Linked DNA regions of Nothobranchius furzeri. The protein of the gene in region 1 purifies or fractionates together with the protein of each later gene. This does not show direct contact. Links are inferred from orthologs where the notes say so. Each region holds a gene or a part of one and is shown in the gene's direction. Other genes may lie near its edges.

Region 1 (4,294 bases):
GACAGGGCCTAAATCCCAGTTGCAGCTTTAGTCCCATCAGTGGTGAGAGCAGTCAGGACGTACCACAGGGGTTGTCGGGACAAAGCTCCTTGCAGAAATCCCAGAAGTGGAACAGATCTTCTGGCATTTGTAAACCGTACAGCCGGGTCAACTCATCCCGCTGCTCTGGATTCCTTTCTGACAGCAGCACAGGTGTGGACTCATCAGTCCGGACCCTCTTCACCTCTCCATTGGCTGAATCCGACCCCTAATGAATCAGAGGAAGAAAAGAAAAATTACAAGTTTTAGTTTGTGGACCCAGGTTACACCATTGTCACTCCTGTCTCAGCCTGTTGCTGCTCTCTGATTATTAATTATATTAAAGTTTAACACCCTCCTGTTTCCTATGGCCTCCATAGTCACGGTTTGTTTTATTACACAGGTGCACCAGTGGGCGTCCTGCGTCCCCAACACCTAAGGTGTTTTATGCAGGTTGAACATTATTATAGTAGCTGAACAGAGGTAGCCGTGAGACCATCTAAAGCTCAGCTTTTATGGATAAAACACACATGCACAAGTTATCCTGCAGGGCACGCGACAGGTGACCCATCTCAAACGCTCCAGATGCGAACGCACGTGTCAGAAATGCGAAGCGGACACGATTAGACTGGAAACACAGTTTAGCAGAGAAGCAGCTGCTGCCATGTTGTCTGGAAGCGCCGCCGCTCACTCAGCTCCAGCGGTTCAGCCCGATGGTCTCACACAGATGTACCCGGAAAACAGCGACACCAGACAGAAGTCTGCGTTTGCCCCGGAGAGCCCGACTTCTCACCTGACACGTTCAGCGCAGGAAGCTTATCGGAGGAGGAGAAATTACCTGAATAGCTTTGGGTTTTCTTTTTGCGCGCCCTGTCATTTTCTTCCTCTCGTCTCGTCTTCTTCTTCTGCAGATTGAAGACAGTGGTAGAGGGTTCACCGTGACGTCGTGCGTCAGTGCCCCCGTGAGGCGTGGCGGTGTAAACATCATCAATTTTACACCTAAAGACACACACACACACACACACACACACACACACACACACACACACACACACAAATATATATATATATATATATATATATATATATATATATATATATATATATATATATAAATATAAGAAAATAAAAATAAAAAACAATAACAGTTAGTTTTAATAATTAAAATCATCCAATGAAAGGGAAAATACACATTTCTATGAATTAAGTTTTAAGTTGACTCAGCTGTTTAATTTAGACAATAAAAAAATGAATGCAGTCTCATTTTAAAGCGTGGCTGGCCCCACCACGCTCCATTCTCATTAAATGTCTCCCTCTGCTGGTCGCCCCCCCACCCTTCACCACCTGCAGTGGGTGGAGCCACCAGTGACAGCTGTGCTGTGATAGGCTTCTCCTAGAGGAGGCTGCCATGACACACGGTGGATGCTGCACAGAACAACATCCTCAGCATCAGCAATCCAGCGCTCCTGCATCCTCCTCCTCACTGTCCCTCTCTCTCTCTTTTCCTCCTCCTTTTTGCCTCTCCTCCTCGTACCACCACCCTTGCTGTCTCTTTTCTCCTGCTCGTTCTCCCTTCCCTTCGGCGGACACACACTCACACACGTCGAGGCCCTGCTTGAGCACACTGCAGCAGAGGGACGTGTACGAACACCAGCAGCAGGATCAGCAGCAGCGGGTGGACTGGTAGGTGAGCTGTGGCCTGAACCCCCCCCCTCCCCTTCTTCCTGCAGCACAAGCAAGACAGCGCGTTCTCCTCTGATCTCTGTCAAGGACTATCTATCTGAGAAGTGTGTGTGTTTGTGTGTGAGGGAGACAGAGGGCTGGGAGGACTACCACACCCTGGGATCATTTACAACCTCCGGCACAGCAGAATGAATGTTTGATGTTTTTATATAATCTTTGCTCCATCCTTCTCTTCTCGCTGAATGCATGCAGTTCCCCTCGGATGGATCTGTTTTCTGTGTCTGCTTGTGATGTTTGGTTTCCTGTTTTAATTCCACAGTACATGAATTCATTCAAGCACATGTTAGCAAGAGCACTGAACATGCAACCATTTAGGAAGTTAACTAACTACATCTTTCATGTTTTCCTTTCCAAAACCCTCTTCAACATCAGGCCATCCACCCCTCTCCTCCACCTTCTCGATTCAATCCTGTTTATCTCTTTCCTCCCTCTTCCTTACACAACTTCTACTCCTCCCAGCTGGTCGCTTTTCCCAGGATGCCTTGCCTCAGGCCACTACGGTAGGCCCCAGCAGCATGGGCGGAGCCTGGGTGGGACGAGATATCAAAGATTGGACCCTTCCTCTTAGGACGGGTGTGGTGGCGGGTCACCTACCTTCAGCTTCAGATGGGCGAGGACGCTGAAAACCCCAAAATCAACCACACCTTCCTGCGAGACTACGTCACTGAAGGTGAGTTGGGTTCACCTCTAGGGTCGGATTAGAGTGACTGAAAAAGGAAACTTGGTTTTATTTTTTATTCTGACAAACTCTGATCTTATTTTGCATCTTTAAATTCTCAGGCTGAAGATAGAAATGTGGTTAGGAGCTTTAGAAATAAGATAATGTTTTTAGTGATTCTAAATTTTATTGATATTTTATCACAGGTTCACTGTTTTTTATGGATCTTATTTATGCTTTCTTTTGAATTGTATTTACTAAGACACCGTCCGGCCCCCCAAAAAGTCAACATCAAAAGAAAAGGTTCACACACTAATATTTCATTGGACCACCTTTAGCTTTGATTACAGCACACATTCGCTGTGGCATTGTTTCAAAAAACTTCTGCAACGTCACCAGATTTATTTCCTTCCAGTGCTGCATTCATGTTTCACCAAGATCTTGCATTGATGATGGTTGAGTCTGACCGCTGCACAAAGCCTTCTCCAGCACATCCTAAAGATTCTCATTGGGGTTAAGGTCTGGACTCTGTGGTGGCCGATCCATGTGTGAAAATGACGTCTCATGCTCCCTGAACGACTCTTTCACTATCTGAGCCTGATGACTCCTGGCATTGTCCTCTTGGAACATGCACGTGTCATCAGGGAAGATGGAATAACCTGGTCATTCAGTATATTCAGGTAGTCAGCTGACGTCATTCTTGGAGCACATCCTGCTGCTGAACCTAGACCTGACCAACTGCAGCAACCCCAGATCATAATACTGCCCCCACAGGCTTGTACAGTAGGCATGATGGGTACATCACTTCATCTGCCTCTCTTCTTACCCTGATGCACCATCATTCTGGAACAGGGTCCATCTGGACTCATCAGACCACATGACCTTCTTCCATTACTCCATAGTCCAATCTTTATGCTCACTAGCAAATTGAATCCTTTTCCCCAGGTTTACCTCACTGATTAGTGGTTTTCTTACAGCTATACAGCTGTTTATTCCCAGTCCCCTGAGTTCCCTTTGCATTGTGTGTGGAACAGGGGCAGACTGAAAAACATCCGAGGCTTTAGTCCTAGTAGCCAGCCCTAACCCCACCCCTTGTGTGGAAATGCTCTTAGTTTCACTGTTAAGCATAGCCCTGACTTCTACTGTTGATTTAACCAAACGGGAAAGCACCGCAGATCACGTTCATTCTAGATTTTTCCCCCCAGCTACATTTCTTCCTCGAAGACGATGGGTCTCCACTATTCTTTCAGTCTTTAAAAATGCGTTGGACAGTTCTTTAACCCAGTTTGGGTCATTTCTACAATCTCCTTAGATGCTTTCTCTGCTCGATGCATGCCAACAACCCTGACCCTTCTCAAACAGACTAACATCTTTTCCATGACCACCACATGTGCCTTTCCACATGGTTGTTTAAGAAATGAGAAGCAACTCATTTCACCAGCTGGGGTTAAATAACTTGTCATTAGCTGAAAGATAATCGCCCATGCAATTTTCCAATAGGGGGCTCTTACCTCAGGCAGCAGTAGCTCACAAGGCTCTCTCTAACCTTAACCCTACCCTAACCCTAGACGTGTCCACCATCACCTCTCTGAGTTGCCCAGTAATTGGAGGGTTGCAGGTTGGATCCCAGCTCCCACCAGAGAATGCTGCTGTTGTGTTATTGGGCAAGGCATTCAACACGCCTTGCCTGCTGGTGATGGTCAGAGGGACTGATGGCGCCAGTGTTTGGCAGGCCTCGCCTCTGTCAGCGTGCCCCAGCGCAGCTGTGGCTACACAGCTCATCATCACCAGGGTGTGAATGTGTGAATGACTGATTGTGTTGTGAAGCACCCTGGGGGCTTGTAGGACCCTAAGAAGGCGCTGCTTAGTTAAATC
Region 2 (3,331 bases), on another chromosome or scaffold:
GAAACGAGCTTCGAAAACATCCCCAAAGTCCTTATTTTTTGAGTACATGTATCGTTTCTGCTCTTTTTGAACATCACCTGATTTCTCCGTAAGCTGAAACGACCCGAGGGTTTCCAGCAGGTGTTGATGGACGAGTTTGGCTCAGAACCTGATACGTTGGACTTAATTAAAGCTCGTCTTCATGACTACGGCAGCGTCAAAGATCCCTTTCTAATGTTCCATTTCGTGCTGACGGCATCATGAGCCATGACACCGACGTGAACTCGTAGACGTAGATATGTCTACGGTTTGACTAGGATGAGGAACCCAGACAGATCCACTTTATCTCCTGTCGCCTCATCCATTCAAAGATGGGTCCTGTGTGTTTGTGTTCCACTTTCATCCAGACACCTAGAATATTCTTCTCTGGCTTAGTGCCTCTGTTTGCTTTAGAGATTTGTGGCTCAGTGTGGCCCCCGAAGCCTCCTGCCGCACGCCGGTCGGGACACGTGGAGTTTGGATGCAATGTAGGTCAACGTTGTGCAACGCTGCAGCGCCATCCTGGCCCGTCTGGGTTTCTATCCCATCAGCTGGCCACCAGCCAAGGAACACACTCGTTCTCTGGTTTGTGAAGGGATCCACGGTCACACAGCTCACAAAAATACTCAGCAAACGGCCAAATTCCGGGTGATTTACCATGAAGGTAAAACAATCGGAAACATAAAAGCAGTCACAGCTGGAGGTTACCAATCAAGCCAACTGGTGGTAAATCCTGTCTTATTTTAATGGTGACTTCCTCTGGCTCTGGCTGTAGGCCACATGCTGAGTCATGCTCTGCAGCAGCCAGTCAGGCCCCTCTGATGATTTATGGGTAAAAATAAAATGCTTTAATAATCCAGAATCACATTTATTTTTCTGAATTTAACACGTTAATCTAATTTGTCTGATCCGATGTGAATTAACATCAAAGTGAACCAAAACTTTTATGCAAATCCACTAAAATTTATTCTGCACTTGCCTTTTAATCTTCGGAGGATCACATTTATGGATTTTTAGAAACGTTGCCGTGCAGCCAGAGCTGCCCGTCCGGGCACCACAGGGTCGCCCCACAGGAAGCTAGTCGCTGCATCAAAATGCTATCAGCCCCGCTCCGTGTGCAGCATCCTGATGAGACGTGATGGAGGCCGTTGTAAGCGCTAGCAGGAAGTGGGCTGTGCCTGAATGAAGACAAAAAGAAAATGGTGGCCTTTGCCTGGCTTGTGCAAGTTTTAATTCTCTAATCAACTTTCCTTCTGCAGGCAAAGGAGATCCTGACCAAAGAGTCCAACGTCCAGGAGGTGAGATGTCCAGTGACCGTGTGTGGCGACGTGCACGGCCAGTTCCACGACCTCATGGAGCTGTTCAAGATCGGTGGGAAATCGCCGGACACAAACTACCTGTTCATGGGGGACTATGTGGACCGAGGGTACTACTCTGTAGAAACCGTCACATTACTTGTAGCTCTTAAGGTGACTTTGTCAGACATTTAAAACAGTTTTTTTTTCCTCTTTGGGGTGAAAAACGCGACGTAAACAGATGTTTGTGTTTCAGGTTCGCTTCCGGGAGCGCATCACGATCCTCAGAGGGAACCACGAGAGCAGACAGATCACACAAGTCTACGGCTTCTACGACGAGTGCTTAAGGAAATACGGAAACGCAAACGTTTGGAAATACTTCACAGACTTGTTCGATTACCTCCCCCTCACTGCGCTGGTAGACTCTCAGGTGAGAGGAGCGTAATAAAAAAGACCGAACTTGACGTTTCTTTGAAAAGCATCATAATTTGTTATAATTATCGATTTTTTTTCCTCAGATTTTCTGCCTCCACGGGGGCTTATCACCGTCTATAGACACGCTGGATCACATCAGAGCTCTGGATCGTTTACAGGAAGTGCCGCACGAGGTAAAGAAAGACGTTAAATGTGGTGCAGATCAGCAACGAAACAATAAAGATAAAAACGTTTGTGACCATTCTCGTTGTCACGCAGGGTCCCATGTGCGACCTGCTGTGGTCAGACCCCGACGACCGCGGCGGCTGGGGCATCTCTCCCCGAGGAGCTGGCTACACATTTGGTCAGGACATCTCTGAAACGTTCAACCACGCCAACCGCCTCACGCTGGTGTCCCGCGCCCATCAGCTGGTCATGGAGGTTTGTCTTTGTGTCCAAAGATGATTAAAAACAAAGAAGCAGTGCCGCTAAGTTCAGATGCGTGTTAATATTACATCTGCTTACCTCAGGGCTACAACTGGTGCCATGAGAGGAACGTGGTGACCATTTTTAGTGCTCCTAACTACTGCTATCGCTGTGGAAACCAGGCAGCCATCATGGAGCTAGACGACACCCTCAAATACTCTTTGTAAGCAGGCGAATTTCATCACGAGTGGACAAAGAAATCTTAGAATAAGTTGTGATTTTTTTTCTTCCTGATGTTCCTCCTCAGCTTGCAGTTTGATCCAGCGCCTCGCAGAGGAGAGCCCCATGTAACTCGCCGCACCCCAGACTACTTCTTGTAAACCTGCAGTCTCGACCCGCGCACGGTCCGGTCCGGTCCTGTCCAGAACCACCAACCTATCTGACTTTGAACTGAAAACAACGTGATGGAGGCCTGAGAGGCTGCAGTGTTGCACGTTGTGTTTATCCAATCTAGTTAAAGCATTTCGCAAAAGCAAATGTGTCTATAAACGGACCAAAAGGTGTGTGCCATGATCACTTAAATATTTATTGTATCTGAAATGACAAAATAGAACATCCTGGATGTCTCGGCTCCTCCTCCTGTACATATGGAGCTGGGTTGACGGCACCAAAGTCCAAGACTAATTTGCTACTGCAGACCATGGTTTTTGAGATTTGAATGTGATTTGTTTGCACTTTTGTACAGTTAAAGAAATGTTAAATATGTCAAAAAGATTAATACGATTTCACGATATTGATAGTTTTTTTGTTGTTTATTTTTAAATTGCATGTAAACCTTCAGTTTTTTTTGACCTGTGTATGTTTTAGGAAAATCCCTTCTCATGCAGTCAGATGGCTTGGTTTATAGAAAAGATGGAGTGTTCATCAACTCACCTGCTTCCTTTTAGCTTCAGACTCTATAATAACCTACTAGAATAATAAAGATGACTTCTTGAATTGTGTTTTTGGTTATTCTTCATTCTTGTAAAAAGTCTAGTTATATTTGGATTTCTCTGGCCAGTTGTAATTACACTGACACAGCAAGGCGAAGACATAAAAAATACATTTATTTAAATGTGAATTTAAATTATTGTGCTCCATAATATTAGATTGTATTGAGAACAGAAGTATCAATTGCC

The links. Proteins that work in one complex are often made in the same cells at the same time.
Region 2: the proteins of ppp2r2ca (region 1) and ppp2cab purify together in Homo sapiens (affinity purification with mass spectrometry; 6 studies listed by BioGRID and IntAct, counting the BioPlex papers as one, with this or other methods). This does not show direct contact. The link is inferred for Nothobranchius furzeri from reciprocal best matches to the Homo sapiens genes PPP2R2C and PPP2CA.

What each region holds. Positions count from the first base shown.
Region 1 is NC_091747.1:78,433,665-78,437,958, reverse strand, and holds the start of ppp2r2ca (protein phosphatase 2, regulatory subunit B, gamma a), read left to right. Parts: upstream 1-1,416; 5' UTR 1,417-1,705; intron 1,706-2,133; exon of another isoform or gene 2,134-2,220; 5' UTR 2,221-2,367; coding exon 2,368-2,431; intron 2,432-4,294. Other genes in the region: hpf1 (histone PARylation factor 1), read right to left, coding at 64-247, 857-1,006. UniProt on the Homo sapiens protein: The B regulatory subunit might modulate substrate selectivity and catalytic activity, and might also direct the localization of the catalytic enzyme to a particular subcellular compartment.
Region 2 is NC_091750.1:60,013,427-60,016,757, reverse strand, and holds the end of ppp2cab (serine/threonine-protein phosphatase 2A catalytic subunit alpha isoform), read left to right. Parts: intron 1-1,277; coding exon 1,278-1,487; intron 1,488-1,569; coding exon 1,570-1,743; intron 1,744-1,831; coding exon 1,832-1,921; intron 1,922-2,006; coding exon 2,007-2,168; intron 2,169-2,257; coding exon 2,258-2,376; intron 2,377-2,460; coding exon 2,461-2,533; 3' UTR 2,534-2,760; downstream 2,761-3,331. UniProt on the Homo sapiens protein: Catalytic subunit of protein phosphatase 2A (PP2A), a serine/threonine phosphatase involved in the regulation of a wide variety of enzymes, signal transduction pathways, and cellular events.